Linked DNA regions of Caenorhabditis elegans. The protein of the gene in region 1 interacts with the protein of each later gene in a pairwise test. Each region holds a gene or a part of one and is shown on either strand. Other genes may lie near its edges. The genes, in order: nova-1 and jac-1.

Evidence for each region.
Region 2: the proteins of nova-1 (region 1) and jac-1 interact in a two-hybrid assay, tested with the Caenorhabditis elegans proteins (one study listed by BioGRID).

What each region holds. Positions count from the first base shown.
Region 1 is NC_003283.11:18,077,893-18,086,147, forward strand, and holds the start of nova-1 (K Homology domain-containing protein), read right to left. Parts: upstream 4,015-8,255; 5' UTR 3,939-4,014; coding exon 3,932-3,938; intron 2,149-3,931; exon of another isoform or gene 2,064-2,148; intron 365-2,063; exon of another isoform or gene 277-364; intron 1-276. Other genes in the region: fbxa-106 (F-box domain-containing protein), read right to left, coding at 4,566-4,754, 4,800-5,442, 5,492-5,579, 7,190-7,235; Y59A8B.12 (MATH domain-containing protein), read right to left, coding at 7,924-8,155, 8,202-8,255.
Region 2 is NC_003282.8:16,022,319-16,030,573, forward strand, and holds the start of jac-1 (Fibronectin type-III domain-containing protein), read right to left. Parts: upstream 4,530-8,255; coding exon 4,375-4,529; intron 4,236-4,374; exon of another isoform or gene 4,211-4,235; intron 4,115-4,210; exon of another isoform or gene 4,094-4,114; intron 4,071-4,093; exon of another isoform or gene 4,050-4,070; intron 3,838-4,049; exon of another isoform or gene 3,817-3,837; intron 3,672-3,816; exon of another isoform or gene 3,651-3,671; intron 3,489-3,650; exon of another isoform or gene 3,462-3,488; intron 3,311-3,461; exon of another isoform or gene 3,290-3,310; intron 3,253-3,289; exon of another isoform or gene 3,232-3,252; intron 3,104-3,231; exon of another isoform or gene 3,080-3,103; intron 2,734-3,079; exon of another isoform or gene 2,713-2,733; intron 2,450-2,712; exon of another isoform or gene 2,426-2,449; intron 2,277-2,425; exon of another isoform or gene 2,256-2,276; intron 2,245-2,255; exon of another isoform or gene 2,219-2,244; intron 1,578-2,218; exon of another isoform or gene 1,554-1,577; intron 1,462-1,553; exon of another isoform or gene 1,441-1,461; intron 1,280-1,440; exon of another isoform or gene 1,259-1,279; intron 1,041-1,258; exon of another isoform or gene 1,020-1,040; intron 943-1,019; exon of another isoform or gene 918-942; intron 512-917; exon of another isoform or gene 491-511; and 4 more. UniProt on the Caenorhabditis elegans protein: May act as a positive modulator of hmr-1 function during epidermal morphogenesis. Required for proper localization of other junctional components, such as pac-1.

The DNA.
Region 1 (8,255 bases):
GCAGACCATCATTTTTTCCGACTGAATTTTGCGTTTTTAGGTGAAAATGAGCAGATTTTCAGGGAAAAACCCCGTTTTCCACAGAAAAATTGTGGTTTTATGCATAGTTTTGTGGCTAACTCCAATAATTTCCGTGTGAAAATCGATTTTTTGAGTAATTTTTCGAGAATTTTCACTTTCAAATTGTGAGGAAATGCAAATTTTGAGATTTTTCAGGAAAACTGCTCAAAATTACAGCAAAATTGACGTTTTTATTTAACTAGTTTTATGTGTAGTTTGTAGTCTGGCAGACCCATGCGCTCGATTTGGGTCTGCTAGACTACAAACTACACGCTGTAGAGCTAATTTTCGTACTTTTGAAGGGATTTTGAGGGGAATTTGCAGTTTCTCTAAAGAAAAAACTCCTTTTTTGCGAAAATTGGGGAATCTGAGTTTTAATTGAATTTTTAGAGTGCACACTCGCTTTTCCCGGCAAAAATTCTGACTTTTCAGGAAATTTTCCCGAAAATTCACGAATTTCAACAAGAAACACCGAGAAAATCACATTTAAAACCTAAAAATCCGGAAAAATCGATTGAAAATGTAGTTTGTAGTCTGGCAGACCCATGCGCTCGATTTGGGTCTGCTAGACTACAAACTACACGCTCTAGAGTTAAATTTCGCAGTTTTCAACGGATTTTTCAGCAAAACTTGCAGTTTTTAAAGGAAAACCGTAGAGAAAAACCGATTTTACGATTATATTTGATAATTTAGAAGGAAAGCTCGATTTTTGAACGAAAAATTCGTATTTTTTGCAAATTTTCGCACAAAACTCCGAGAAAATCGTGTAAAAAACTAAACATGTGTAAACTTTCGGATTTTCAGATGGTATTTTGGCGAAAATTGTGATTTTATGCAAAATTCTCTGTGAAAATTGATTTTGTGAGTCAATTTTCGTGCATTTTTCCTTAAAAATTCCGAGAAAATGCAAATGTTTGCATTATTCCCGCGAAAAAATCATCAGGAAAACTGCTCAAAATTACAGCAAAACTGGCGATTTTTACCAAGTTTTATGGTCTGCCAGACTACATACTACACAAAATGTATTTAGCAGACCCAGAATCCATTTTTCTTGCATTTTTTATTGATCAGCGTTAAAATTTGCAATTTTCGTGATTTTCAACCCACTTTTCAGCAAAAAATTCAGCTTTTGAAGAAAAATCGTAGAGAAAAACCGATTTTACGATTATATTTGATAATTTAGAAGGAAAGCTCGATTTTGAAACGAAAAATCGAATTTTTTGCAAATTTTCACACGCAATTTCGAGAAAATCGCGTAAAAAACCAAAAATTTGTACGAAACCAAAAAAAAAAACGGAACGCGTCCTCCTTCGAAAAAAGAGCGCGTAAATACGAAGAAATGAGTCAGTTGACGGACACAATGATGAGATGAAGAGACGGCAGACAACGAGAGGTTCCATGTTTTCTCTCGTCTCTCTCAGCTCTCAATGCTCTCTAATCGTCGTCACTTTTTGTCCCTCGCCAACATCGAAAATCGATGGGATTTGTTGGTGGGACACTTGGCAGCATGCCAAGTGTTATTCGGAGAGCAGATGGCCAAAAAGAACGGCGAGAGCGGGGCAATTTGGCAAAAAAAAATCGATTTTTTCCTAAATGTGGGAGAAAATTAGCGAATTTTAATGCTGATTAATAAAAAATGCATGAAAAAATCCAAAAATTCGCGAAAAAAAAATGGATTTTGGGTCTGCTAAATACAATTTTTGTAGTTTGTAGTCTGGCAGACCATAAAACTTGGTAAAAATCGTCAATTTTGCTGTTATTTTGAGCAGATTTCTGATTTTTTCGCGGGAAAAAAATTCAAATCTTGCATTTTCGCGGAATTTTTCAGGAAAAATTAACGATTATTGCCTTAAAAAATCAATTTTCACACAGAATTACGCATAAAATCACAATTTTTCGCCAAAAAACCGTTTAAAAAAAATGCATATTTTTCTATGGGAAACCGAGTTTTTTCCGTCTAAATCTGCTTATATTCACCTAAAACGCAAAATTTCGTCGAAAAAAATATGGGTCTGCTAAATACATTTTGTAGTTTGTAGTCTAGCAGACCTACTCTCAGAAATTTGGTCTGCTAGACTACAAACTACAAAAAACGCTAGCATACCAATCGAAAAATTGAGAGATTTTCGTCAGATTTTGAGAGGAAAATGATTTAAAAACGAGGTTTAAAGCAATTTTTCAAATTTTTTTCAAAAAATTCCAGAAAAACCGGCTTTTCTGGAATTGGGGAGGAAAATTAGTGAATTTTAATGCTAATTGGTCAAAAATACAAGAAAAAATAAAAAAAATTCGCGAAAATTTTTTTTTTGGGTCTGCTAAATACATTTTGTGTAGTTTGTAGTCTGGCAGACCATAAAACTAGGTAAAAATCGTCAATTTCGCTGTGATTTTGGGCAGTTTTCCTGATTTTTTCGCTGGAAAAATTCAAATTTTGAATTTTCTCGCAATTTGAATATGAAAATTCACGAAAATTGACTCAAAAATCGATTTTTACAGAGAAATATGAGTAAAATCACAATTTTCGCCAAAAAACCGTCTAAGAAAACGAAAAATTCATATTTTTCTATGGGAAACCGAGTTTTTTCCGTCTAAATCTGCGTATTTTCACATGAAAACGCAACATTTAGTCGAAAAAACTATGGGTCTGCCAAATACGTTTTGTAGTTTGTAGTCTAGCAGACCCACTCGGGTCTGCTAGACTACAAACTACAAAAAACGCTAGCAGACCAATCGAAAATTTGAGAGATTTCGTTAGATTTTGACAGAAAAATTGATTTAAAAACGAGATTTAAAGTAATTTTTTAATTTTTTCAGCAAAAAATTCCAGAAAAACCGGTTTTTCTGGAATTGGGGAGGAAAATTAGTGAATTTTAATGCTAATTGATCAAAAATGCAAGAAAAAAATCAAAAAAATTCGCGAAAAATGTTTTTTTTTGGGTCTGCTAAATACATTTTGTGTAGTTTGTAGTCTGGCAGACCATAAAACTTGGTAAAAATCGCCAATTTTGAGCATTTTTTCCTGATTTTTTTGCGGGAAATATCTCAAAATGTGCATTTTCTCGACATTTTAATGTGAAAATTCACGAAAATTGACTTAAAAAATCAATTTTCACAGAGAATTATGCATAAAATCACAATTTTCGCCGAAAAAACTCTGAAAATACGAAAAATTCATATTTTTTGTCGGTTTTCTGTGAAAAACTGAGTTTTTTCCTTTAAATCTGCTTAATTTCACCTGAAAACGCAAAATTTAGTCGAAAAAGTGATGGGTCTGCTAAATACATTTTGTAATTTGTAGTCTGGCAGACCCAATCTCAGAAATTTAATCTGCTAGACTACAAACTACAAAAAACGCTAGCAGACCAATCGAAAATTTGAGAGATTTCGTTAGATTTTGACAGAAAAATTGATTTAAAAACGAGATTTAAAGCAATTTTTCAATTTTTTCAGCAAAAAATTCCAGAAAAACGGGTTTTTTAAGGCAAAATTCAGTTTTTTAGAACTTTTGTAACAATAAAAACTGCAATTTTACCGGAAAACCAGTAGAATTTAAATTTTAACTCATAAATTATACAGTCAAATTTTAAGTCAATTTTCTTGCAATTTTCGTCAAAACGGCGTAGTTTTACCCAAAAACTTGCTGAAAAGTCGAAAAATCTGGATTTTGGCGTAAATTCCACCATTTTCAGCCGAATTTTTCCGATTTTTATCGAATTCAAACATTATTTTGCCGGAAAATAAGACAAATCAAACAATTCTGTGAGAAATATCAATTTAGGATGGAAAAATTGCGGAATTAATGGAAAAATTGAATCCTAAGAGGTATTTTTTTTTTCGAATTTTACCTTTTTCAAGTTGAAAAAGCACGAACCTTCCATTGCGCTTGTTAATTCCTTCAGTTTTTCGTCGAAAATCAGCAAAAAAGCGCCGAAAATTGGGTGAAAAGTTCGAAAATTGGAAAAAAATTTATTTTTTTTTATTGCGCCGTACTACGGTAGACAGAACACGCCGTGCGGTGTTTGCGGAGTTGTGTACCGTAGTCCGGTTTTTAAATTGAAGTTAATTTAAAATGTTTTCAAAATTATTGATTTTTAATGAAATTTCCTGAATTTTAGAGTCAAAAATTGGTTAGAAATCGTGAAACTTGAGAGAAAATCGTCGAAACTCTCAATATTCCGGGTTGAAATTCAATTTTTCATCTATATTGAAACAAAAAATCATTTTCTCAAAAAAAGAAAATCGTGAATACTTGAGGTTTTGTATAATTTGCACCGGTTATCCATGCATTTCCATGCAAATTAGTTAAAAAATCTAATAAATTTCAATTTTTCACTTATAGTTTTTCTCACAATTTCCAGCAAATTTTCGGGAAAATCTCCACTTTTCAACAAGGTTTGCAATTTAATACAAAAATGTCTCAAAATTGTAATTTAACAAGAAAAAAAACAGATTTCAACAAAACAGTTTATTTTAATGAGAACCACACGAGTGAACAACAGTTTAATTTATTTCTTCTTTTCGATTTTGATAGAAATATGATCGTATAAGAGGCTGAAGTGAGAGCCATTGTCATAGTCAACGCGAAAAGGTCTTCTAGCAATGAAATTTGGATTGAAAACTCGCACAACTCCAACGCTGAAGATATTTCTAGAAGTGATGATTCCAGACTCAAAAACAGTCGATTTCAAGAGAATCTGGAAAAAATGACAATTTTTTTGAAGGAACATTAAAAAACTAACATCTCTGATTTTAACAGCATCAGCGACAGAAAGATACGCCGTATCAATGAAGAAGTGGGTAAGATGGAAGAGATTTTCAATTGGGAAATGCTTCTCTCCATATGAATCAATAAAAATCGACTTGGCTCTTTTCCATTGCTCCATTTCAAATAATTGATCGACGTAATCTGGATTCCCGCTGCAGTAAATGCAAATTTCTTCTAGAAATCCTGGTTGAAGAAGCGGAAAAATTGTTGCGGCAAAAGTTGGAAGATTAATGGAAAAGTCGATTCTTTTTACCTTGTAGAGGTTTTTTGAATCGGACATTTCTTTGAACCAATTCATAAATGTTTCCTTCTTTTGAATACGATCATATCCTTGGAATTCAAGGACTTCCAATTGAAGTTTCGAGTTCTTCATCACCACTGACAAGTCTGTCTCAGCCATTTTCAAGCCGTTCACTCCTTTAAAGCGCTCATTCCGATCATTGTAGTTTACTGTGCAATGCGAATGACTGAAATCATAGTGAATTACAGTAGATTTTGCGTCAAGCAGCCACATCTGGAATTGAGAGTGATGGATGTTAAGTACAACGCGCTTGATTCCAGGATCCTTATTATCGACGATTGCACGAAAGTTGCGGCAGACTTTACGGACAGAAAGCCTGAAATTTTCAATTTAATTAATCCTCCAAAAACTAGTTCTGATTATACCGTTCGATTGGTTCAACCTTTTCCACAATTTTATGAATGACGTCCAATGGCAAATTCGACATCGATGGAGCCTTGGAGCACGGCCTCTCTCAATTTCATTTATTTCAAAATTCCTCTTTTTCTCTCACACTCTCTCACGTGAGATTGAAAATTGAATAATATATGTGTTTTTAAATTAAATTCAAAATATTGACGAAGAAACAACTTTGGTATAAATACTGATTTGTTAGGACCGATACCAAATGGTAATTTTCGGACATATTTGATCTCGTAGACAACGGCTCACTATTTCAGTGATCTTTAAAGTAATAAAAAATTCTTCAAAGTTTGGTACAGAGAAACTGAAGTAGTTACATTTGTAGAAACTTACATAACTTATAAACCTACCGTATTCCTATCGTACCCAATTACCGTATTTCCTCTATTAGTCTTGAATGCAAGACTAATTTTCAATTGACCCGTAGGGGTGCAAGACTAATAGAGTCCGCATGACTGATTTTCGATTGGTCCGTAGGGGTGCAATACTAATAGGGGTGCAAGACTAATAGAAGCTGCAAGACTAATAGAGGAAATACGGTATATTTTTTGTCGTACACTGATGGAAAACTGATGAGACTTTCCCGGCAGGGTTCACAAGCTGAGTTATTCATTGGTGGCCTCGGTTTCAGTCGGTTGCCGACTGTAAAGACGGGATCCCGTACGGGAAAAACAAAAAGTGACATATGAAAAAGGTATCAGACGGTACTAATCCAGACTTTGTTATTTTTTGCTTCTTTGAGATGATTGTGCAAACGGATAATTTCGAATACCTTCGTGGTATCTCTATCAAAGTTTTTCAAAGCATTGAATCTTTACATAGCTTAAACTATGTATTTTGTGAGAATAGCCAAGTATTATGAACATAGAAAATGTTTCTTGTGTTATCAAGATTATTTTTGTAGTTCAAAGTTTCTTGATAGCTTTTCTGGTTACCGAGTTATATGTTTTCAAAAGCGTTCACATCAACTATTATGCTTGCGGTTGTCCAAAAATTACAATCGCATTGTCTTAAAACTGAAGTTACTCAATCAGTTTTTGATCAAATCAGGTGATTGACATCTTAATCTCTTCCTTAGAGAATTTTGCAACTTTTGGTGAGGTTGAATTTTTGATTATGTCTTGGTGCGTCTCGTAAAATTAGGAAAACCCGCCAAAAATTGTCGTTTTTTAACGATTTTTGGAGTTTTCAGGCCTAATTCTTGTTTTGAAGATGCCGACGTCAATTTTCATCAAAAAACCTTCATCAAAAACAGAAAATAATCAGAAAAAAATTATCTACAAAATGGTGGCCTTCAATTTTCAAATTTCTCTTTTCAAGGATCACTAGAGGTCCCGAAAAAATCCATTTTTTGAGGTAGCCTTTTGTTTTTCCGTCTGCCGGCGTCGTGAACATCACTAACCTAGATATTTGCATAAAAATAGATACACTTAGTCTTAATTGACAATATATTAATAAAAAACTTAAAGATTTATCAGCGAATCGCCGGCTTTAATCAGTTTTGTCTGGAAAATCACTAATTTTGAACTTTCACATGTGGGCGTATTCATAGGTGATTTACAATTTTGCCCTTTTTCATATAATTTCTATGTGTTTGATCAGGCAGTTAGTAAATTTTTATTAGATTTTGTTCACTATCAGCCGTTTCCGGCCTATTTTACCGTTTTCAGTACAAATTCGGCTCAAAAAGCTCACTCTCTCGCCCATGAGAGACACAGAGAAAGTTCATCACGTCAATTTGATTTATTTTTTGAAATGAAGAGAGGCCGTGTTGGAGCTGAAAAAAAAGTTTTAGGTTTGAATTCGAGAAAGTGTATTTTTTCTTAGTTAAATTCACTGAAAATCCGTCAAATTCTCATAATTTCAGTCCACTCAATTTATCAGTAGATGTGGCAATTTAAACCGTAAAATTCTTACATTTTCAACGAATTCATTTTTTCTTCCAAATTATCGGTCATTTTTCTGGCGAAAATGTTCTTACCAAGGGAAATTGCCAGAAAATTGAAAAGAATAAGAGAAAAATCATACGAAAAGAAACATTTTGTTATAACACTCTATTTTTCAGCAGAAATTAGCAAAAAAATCGCACTTTAAACGTTAATCTCTACTTTTAAGTGAAAAACAACCAAGAAAATCTAAAAATGAGCCAGAAGCTCGTCAATTAGAATGCCGAGTACGCAAACACTTGATATTGCGTACTTCGCCGACTACAGTACTCCAACAGAATTTATTTCGAAATATTTGATTTCCTTTACGGAAAACTTGAGAAAATAATCATAAAATTGGTTAAAATTCAATATTTCACTGATAATCGACAGAATAAGAAATTAATTCAAAGTATACACATAGTTACAATTAAAAATATATCACAAATTGCATAAATTCAAGTGGAAATTCAGAAATCAATATAAGCAGTAATCTTGATGGCTCCATTGTCAGCAGGTTGGTCAATTCGCATTCCGAATGTATGATTCCGTGAAGAAACTGTCACATCAAAGTTTTCTCCGACTTTTACTTGTCCATATTGAGCTTCCAGCAGGAATTTGCATGGGATTTCGTATTGTAGCCGAGAACGAGTGACCAGCTGTGTGTAAAGTTGGCCTCCGTCGCTGTGAAGAATGAGATCCCTGGAAAAATTAAGGTTTTCAGGGAGTTTTCTGGCATAAAAAGTACCATTCGATGCCTCGCATCTCTTCCCATTCCGATAAATCTTCATTTCTGTTGTGA
Region 2 (8,255 bases), on another chromosome or scaffold:
ATTTATATATCATTAAAACAACTTTTGTGTCTACATTTATCAACACAATGAAAAGGTGGAAAAATATATTAAAAAGTCCAAGAGGGTTGGAGTTTAAAAAGACACAAAAAAAAGATAAAAATTTGAAACCACAGAAAAAATTAGTTGCTGTTTCTCAGGAAAGTCAAAATTCGAGAAATCTTCGAAAAATAATCATCTCGAAAAAGATTGAGAAAACAGCACAACATAAAAGGAAACAAGGGATGGTTTTCTCCCGTCTTTTCTTTTTTTGCTTTTTTATGCGTATGTTTTCTGTGACTGTGCACATCGAGTGTGTGTGTGTAGAGGTATGAGGTGAGAGAGAGAGATAGGTAGGCAAACAAAGGATTAGAGATTGGAAGACGCAGGTGGGTTGGGAAATTGAGATGTATGGTATGGGGTATAATGGTTCGGGGAATTGCTCATTAGAAAAAAAAAATCCAAATTTAAAAAAAGTCATATCATAAGTTATTAAATGTTGTCCTACAGATGAATGTTCACAAAATTCTAAGAAGTTTATCTTAACAATTTGAAATAGTGTTTTTTTTTATTTTCAAATTTTAAACTGTTTCAATACTTTGATAAGGAAATTCAAAAATTCTAACAATATTATATCGTTTTTTAATTTAATGAAACTATAAACTTTTTGGTTCAAATTAGATACATAACGTATCAGTTCAAATTTTGAAAAAAAAAATTTTTTTTCATCATAGCAATTCGTACTGATAAATATTATAAAGCGGGAAAATTTTGGGAAGCGACTTTTAGTTGGGAAAGCTTTAAAAGTATCACTGTTCAGGCAACTGTGCCTGCGTCGTACCTACCGAATGCCGATTGGGTTGCACTTTAGCTAGGACATTTTACATTAACAAAAACAATCGGCCACCAAATTTTATAAAAATTCAAACCATCGAACTTACACAATTTTGCTCACATTTCCCAGAAGAAATTATAAACTTCTAGAAACTGCATAAGTTTTTATCAAGTTTTATGTTTCTTATTCACATCAGCAAGGTACTATATTGACTAAAATTCAATGCTCACGTTTAGATACTTATTTGAAACTGCAATTTTTTTTTTCAAAAAAAAACTGTCAAATTTCATTGAAAACACCTTTCTGTAACAATCTGTAATTTTTTCAATTTAAGAAAAACAGCTATTAATAGTTTTCGAAAAAGTTCAAATAAATTGATAATTAATTATTTGAAAATTTCAGATTGAATGCAAATCTATTTGTCACAAGTTATCCAGTATATGAACATTAAATTTTTGAAAAAAAAAAACAAATTATATGTTTCGTTTGAAACAGTACTTGGCAGTTTTTTGTTATTTTTAAAATAAATCAGCAGTGAACTGAAATTTTAAAAAATTCACTGACAGCCTAAAACAGAGAAATAATTTCAGATTAACAGCTTATTTTGTCCGCTGGAATGATTTTTCCCACTAATATTTGAAACATTTTCGAAAATATATGATCTATTTGAAACAATGTTAAGAAGAAAAATTGTTATGTGAAATATCTAAAAATAGTATTTAGAGAAATTTTAGACAAAATAACAGTTAACTAAAAAACTTGAAGAAAATTCAACAACATCTTGAAACAGTTTTTTTTTCGAATATTCATAGTTAAAACTGAAAAAAACAGGATTTTACACAATTTTTTCTTTTTTTTTTAGAATTCATCTTTCTGTTGAATTTTAGCAAAAAAAACTGTATTTAAAATCAATTTTATGTAGAGAACGTCGTTTACAAAACTACATGCTCAAAGAAACATCTAAAGCAGTGGAAAAAAAGTGTCTCCCATTCTTCAGAAAATCTCTCCACAGTAAAAGAACAAAAAGTCATCGGAAATGAGAACGGCGAACGCAATTTATTCATTTGTTCGTCCCCTCTCTTCATCGAGGACATTCTCTCACTCACACCTTTTTAACCTTCTGTCTCACTCTCTATTTCTCCACTCTCTCTACACACTTTGGCAGAGTGCCAACGTGCGGGAAGAGAGTGTGAGACGCAGAGTGGAGAGAGGGAAATGACATATTGTTTTAGATGGTCTCTTGTTTGCCGTGGAGAAATGGACCGTTTGAGACAGGGAAGGGAAGGGTATTTTCGATTACTCACACCTTGCACATCCTTGCATTTCCAGTGACGTCATCGGGAACCAATTGTCAAGTTTTTAAAAATTGCTGTTTTACTGTTTCATTTTATCCTTATCAATTGTGCAATAAAATAACAGCTAATCAGAAACATTTTCTCAAAGTTTTGAAACAGTAATTTTAATTTAAAAATTGAAATTTCTTGAAGTTTTAAAAGCAAATTTATGAATTTTCACCGTTTAATTATTTTGAAATATTAAAAAATTTTCAGGCAAGGATTCCATGTATATTATGAAACTTATATGGGTCAAATTTATTTCAAAGGTTAAGTAACAATAATATGAGTTTAACTTGCAAGTCGTTAAAAAACATATTGAAATAGTTTTTTTTGCCAAAATAAAGTGGCCTCGATAAAACTTTCATTAAGCAAACATTTTTTTTGCAAATTTTGAAGAAAATTAACTTGGAATACACTTAAATAAAAACTGCTATTAAAACATTCAAATGTTCAATTTATTCTTATTTATGGTAGGCTGGTTACATTAAAAAATTTTTAACTTGGTTTTGCAGTTTCAGTTGCATATACATTGTCAAACAAAAATTAGATTTAACTATTTTTGGATCTGATAACCAAAAATGTTCGGAAAAAAGTATAAACCCTTGAAACCGAAACTATTTTTTTCAATTTCTAAAGTTTTGCCGCAACTCAAAAGTTGCAATAAATGACCACTAGCGTCGTCGTTCCAATCCAATGATATACCAATAAAACATAGCCGAAACGAATATTAATGACAATAATAAACATTTTGTAGACCTGGCTGAGAGATAGTGTGGGATTTGGAGAGACGGAAGACACAACACTAATCCGATGCAAAAACGGAAAAAATAGGACGGACTGTTTGTATTTGGCGGCGGTTAGGGTTTTGAAACGGCTTTTTTGGAGGGAATTAAAGAGAGGTGAGATGGGAATATCGGATGAATTAATGGCACTATCTTTAATCAATTTAAGTAGTTTTATCTAAACAATTTGAAACAGTAGAAATTTATTTTTCGCAGTCGAGAATTTTAGAATACCGACTTTATGCAGAATTAGGTTGCTTTTAGAGAAATTATCAACTTTCAAAATATATCTGGTTTCCGACTGCCTTTTTATTTTCGAGAACTAATATGTTAAGCAATAGAAACAGTCGGAAAAAAGTTTCCAAAATTTTTTCCTTGACAAACTCCGATTTTCTATTTTTTAACGAAATATTTTACTACTTTTCAGAAAGAAAATTTTGAAATAGGCAACTTTTAACCAGTAATTTGTTTTACAAAAAGTGGTGGAACAACGGTCAAAAAGTGGTTGATTTCTCTGCGTTTTGTTCAAGAGCGAGAATGTCACTCAATTCAGAGCAGTTTTATCTTAAGGTGTAAAAACAGTAGAAAAAAGTTGATACCAAATTGTAGAACAAAACACTTTCTGTATTATTGCTTTGAATATTTTGGATTTTCATAAATATTTTAAAGAGAAGATCGTAAGCTATGCAGTACTACTAGAAAGGACAGGCACTTAAATCAATATTTAATGGAAAATTAAAGGTTTTATTTGGGAAACTAGAAAAAGTAAAAATAAGTGTTAGATTTTTTAGCTAAAAGCCGAGATTTGCTGTTGTTATGCAGAATTAGTTCGTTTTTGAAAAAATACACTACTTTCGTTTCAGCTTGTCAACGAGACCCTATGAGACTGCCCTTCTATTTTGGAGCAGTTATATCTTAAGAACTAGAAACAGTTTTTTTTTTAATTTTTAAACTTAATTTCTAGTTTCGGAATTTTAACTATTTTTTTAATACGCAATCAGTTATTTCTTTTGTTTTTTTTTAATTTTAAGAGTATCAATTTGAATGTGTGAGATTATTCAGAGAAAAAAATCGAGATCATATATAATAAAAACTTATCTGTTTTTCTTTGATGTCAAAAAGAGCTTAGATATTTTCAGTGATATCTAAGGAACTTGAAACTTTAGAACATTTTGTTGGCTGAAAATTTAATTTTCTTCAAATAAATATGTTCTATGCCCAATTTTTAAGTTAGTTTTTGATCAATTTTTCATTTCTGGTTTTGAAGTTCGATTTCAAAAATAAGTGCTTTTCTATTTCCTTGTACTACTTCTCAAGAACCAGAAACTGCAAAACTTTTTTTTTCAATTTCAAAATTAATTCAAACTTTGAGATCTCTTTCAAACCCCTCCCAAAAATAAAAATTCCAAAAAAAAAAACTAACCTAACTAGCGTATTAATCTGTTCCGAAGTGTACACCTCCTTCTTTCGCATCGTCCTTTTAGCGGTATCCGACATAGCTCCCCACTCGGAGCCATCCGCCTCGGTTCCCTCCTCTGGTATGGGCTCCATTTCTTGCATCCACCCCGAGGAGATCATCTGTAAAATGTTGGGATTTTGAGGAGGAATTATTGATTATTTAAAAAGTGGACGGAGAGTTGAGAGAAAATGTTAACAATGAGACATCAGATATGGTTTTATAACAGTGCTTATGAGTACTATGTGAAAAAGTGAATTTTTTTCAAAATTTTTTTTTAAAACAAAATTTCACCTATTCACATTTTCGATTTATTTTGCAAAAATTTCACGAACAATTACGTGATCTAGTTCCGAATAGAAAAAATAACATTTTGATATGCATTCAGGAATAATTGTAAATTTTAGTATTCTATGGAGAATTCTGTTAAAACCTTGAATTAGCAGTTTTAATAGAAATCTCAAAATTAATTATGACAATTTTAATCAATTTTTGAGTGAAGTGAGAATTTTCATACGAAAAATATATATTTACTGCATCGTAGTACAATTAGTTTTATTATAAAATTAGCTTTTTTTGTGAACATTCTGAAACAGTACTTGTCAGTAGAGTAGAGAACAAAACAGACCGATTTTTGAATAATTCTTGAAACGGCCAGTTTTCTCAAAATCGAAGCGTTTTTCAATTGAAAACAAAACGATTTAAGACATTTCTGAAACGGTGAAATTTGTTTTTTCGAAAATGCAAAAAACTCCACAATTTTTTCCAGAAATCAACGCGTATTCCGGATTTCTAGCAACAAAAAACGTTATGCGACGAAGATAATACATTTTCCTCTTAAGAAATTAACTTTTCAGCAGTTGTAGAAATTTTTTTGAAAAATAATGTTTCAAGTTATCCATTTATTATCGTAAAATTTGCTTCTACATTGAGTACAGCTCACATTCAAAAATTGGTAATTCTTTAAAACTTTCATTGAGAAACTTTCTAACAATCAAAAATTCCTAAATTAATTGAAAAATTTTGAAAACGAATTTGACGATTTTCTGCACAATTTCGGAATTTTCGTAGAAAAATTTCAAAAAAAAGCTTTTTTTAAAAAATATCATTTTTTGAAAAAAAAACCGTAAATTATGAAGAACTGTTAGTAAACCGAGTAATATTACAAAAATGCAGATGAAATTTTGGGAAAAGTCAAACATTTTCATCCAAAAGTCATTTTTTTCAAATTTTTAATAATAATTTTAATTATTCTGTAAGAATTCAACGTAATATGCCACGTGGAAGAAAGTTTAGGATGGAAACAAATCTAATTACTCAAGTAAACACCATACTGCAAGTTAAAAAATTTATTTGTTTATATGTTACTTTTGAAACGGCAAATTTTTTTTCCAAAATTGTCTTTTTTTTAATAGCGAGATTCATGGAAAATATAAAAATGCTCCAAAACTTCTATTTTCGAAAAGAACAGTAAAACCAAAAAAAGCCAAACCAAAAATATCATAATTATTAATCAAAGCACCCGTCTCCCATCGGAGGTGGTAGACAATTGGTGGGTGCAAATAAATTTTTTTTGAGCAAGATTGATGAGCCGCGATTTGGAGGGAGCCGCTGAGGATCCCAGTGGGAAAAGTGTAAGAGAAGGCACTTTTTGGTGGGAAATTTGAAAAAAATTTAGGATTAAAATTGTTTCTGTTTCAAAATGTTTTCAAAGTTAAAGACAAAGTTAATGTGAAGTTTTATCTCAAAATGTTCATTTTAAGCGAGGTTTTGTTTTTAAAATGTTTGCTGTCGAAATGGCTATGCAAATTTTAAATCAAACTCATCAGCTCCTGCCGATTAGGTTTCTTTTCTTCGGTTGTTACATAACCCTACAGTAATCCCTAAAATATTGTAAATAGCGTTTTAGGACTTCTCCCAGCTAAGAGACGCAGACAACAACAGAACCTCGATCGATGTCGGCTGCGTTTTTTTTTCAGAAAAATTTCACTTTTTCATATTCATCATGTTTTCAAAACTTGTAATGATGAGAATTGTTGGCCTTCGAACGGAACAAGATATCGCAGCTGCGTCTCTCAATCACCAGTACTGATAGTATTACTGTAGGTAGTACTGTAGGGGTACGGCAAAACAGGTGTTAGAAGAAATTTCCTAAAGTCTCTTTAGCTGCAGTTAAAAACTAGCAGAAACTACTTAGAAACAGTTAAAACCATAAAATTTGACTTTTCTGGTTCAATCGGAATTAGTTAGAAAAAATTTGTAGCACTGTTTCATGTCATTTTCAAAGATTTACTACAGTTATTAAAAAAAAAGAAAACTAACGAGTTTCAACAATCGGAATCAGATATATAAGGCTTGTAGAGAAATTGAGAAATTGAGAAACAGTAGAGAAATTGAAACAATCTTTGAAAAAAAAAACAAATTTTGACTGTTTCAGTATGTTCATAAGTTGGTTAACACAAATGACAATGTAATCTGATGATTTTTCTATATTGAAACTGTTTAAAAACAAACAAATTTGACTATTTCAATATGCTCATAATTTCTAGAACAAATATTGTTAAACATTCGGAATGGGTTCAAGTCAGCAAAATTTTTTTGGAAACATCAGAGAGGATTCGTGGTGAGCCCTTGTATTTCTAAAAAAAACTGAATTTTTAGTAAAAATTGCGAAATAAGAATTTAGTTTGAACTGTTTCACAATGTCTTTAACTTCTGAAAATTTTTAAAAATAGTTCCGTCCATGTTTATCACAAATTCAAAGAGAATACTTAAAACATATTTTGAAGAGTATTTTTTTCTAAATAAAAGTATCAATTGAACCATTCCACTGTTTTTCACGATTTTCTCAAAAAAAAAGTCCACTGTTTCAATGTCTGCATAATGGCGGGAATACAACTTTTTAAATATTGAGTTTTAGATAAGTTTGCCACAAAACAAATCTGAAAATAGGCTTCAGTTGTAATATGTGGTTAGATTCTGTAAAAAACATAACAAATATCTGTTTTCACGCGCAACTATTTAGGCCAGCGCGTAGGCCGTTTGACAGGCACGCATGCCTGAAAGTGTGCCTGCTTACAGCAAAATATCATTCCAATAAAACTGCGTATAAAGTGTAAAAAAACGAAATTTTTAAAACTACAAAAAATTACTGTTTCAAAAAGTTAGTATAAAAATTTACGACAAGCGGAGTGATTTGTTTTGTCGCTTTAGGTTCAATTCGTCTATAAAACTTTTGAAAAATGCTGAGCAACTTTGTTTTGCTTTGGAAACAATTTTTCCACAAATTTTCATGAAAATCGTCCAAAAAAGCCAAAAAACTCCCCATTCCTACTTTGGAAATCTACTGACGCATGCACTAATCTGGGATTCACCTACCCTATAATTTCCGCCATTTCGATGGTAATCACTCATATTTTTTAAAATTTCGAATATAGATTCGGATGACAATTTCAATTGAAATCAAACATTTTCCCACATTACACAGAGAAATAGAGAGATAGACGAAAAAATGAGAGAAAAAATGTTCCGTTTTTTGTTGTTGTTCGAGGCGTGCACCTGCGGTGCAGGTGGTGTTGCATTCGGTGGGAAATGTGAGAAAAATGAAATTTTTAACTTTTTCAGAGAGCTGTGAAATTAAAAAACAATTCAAGTAATTTGTGAAGCGGAGAAAAAATGGCAAAAATCATATAAATAATAAACTTTTTAAAAATTGTACATTTTTATCAATCATTTGAAACAGTGGAATTTTTTGAAACTTTTTCAAAATGAATTATACCGTCCTATATATTTCAATGAGCTTTCTGCCAAATTAACCAATAATGACTCGAAATCAGAGTTGTTCTCTG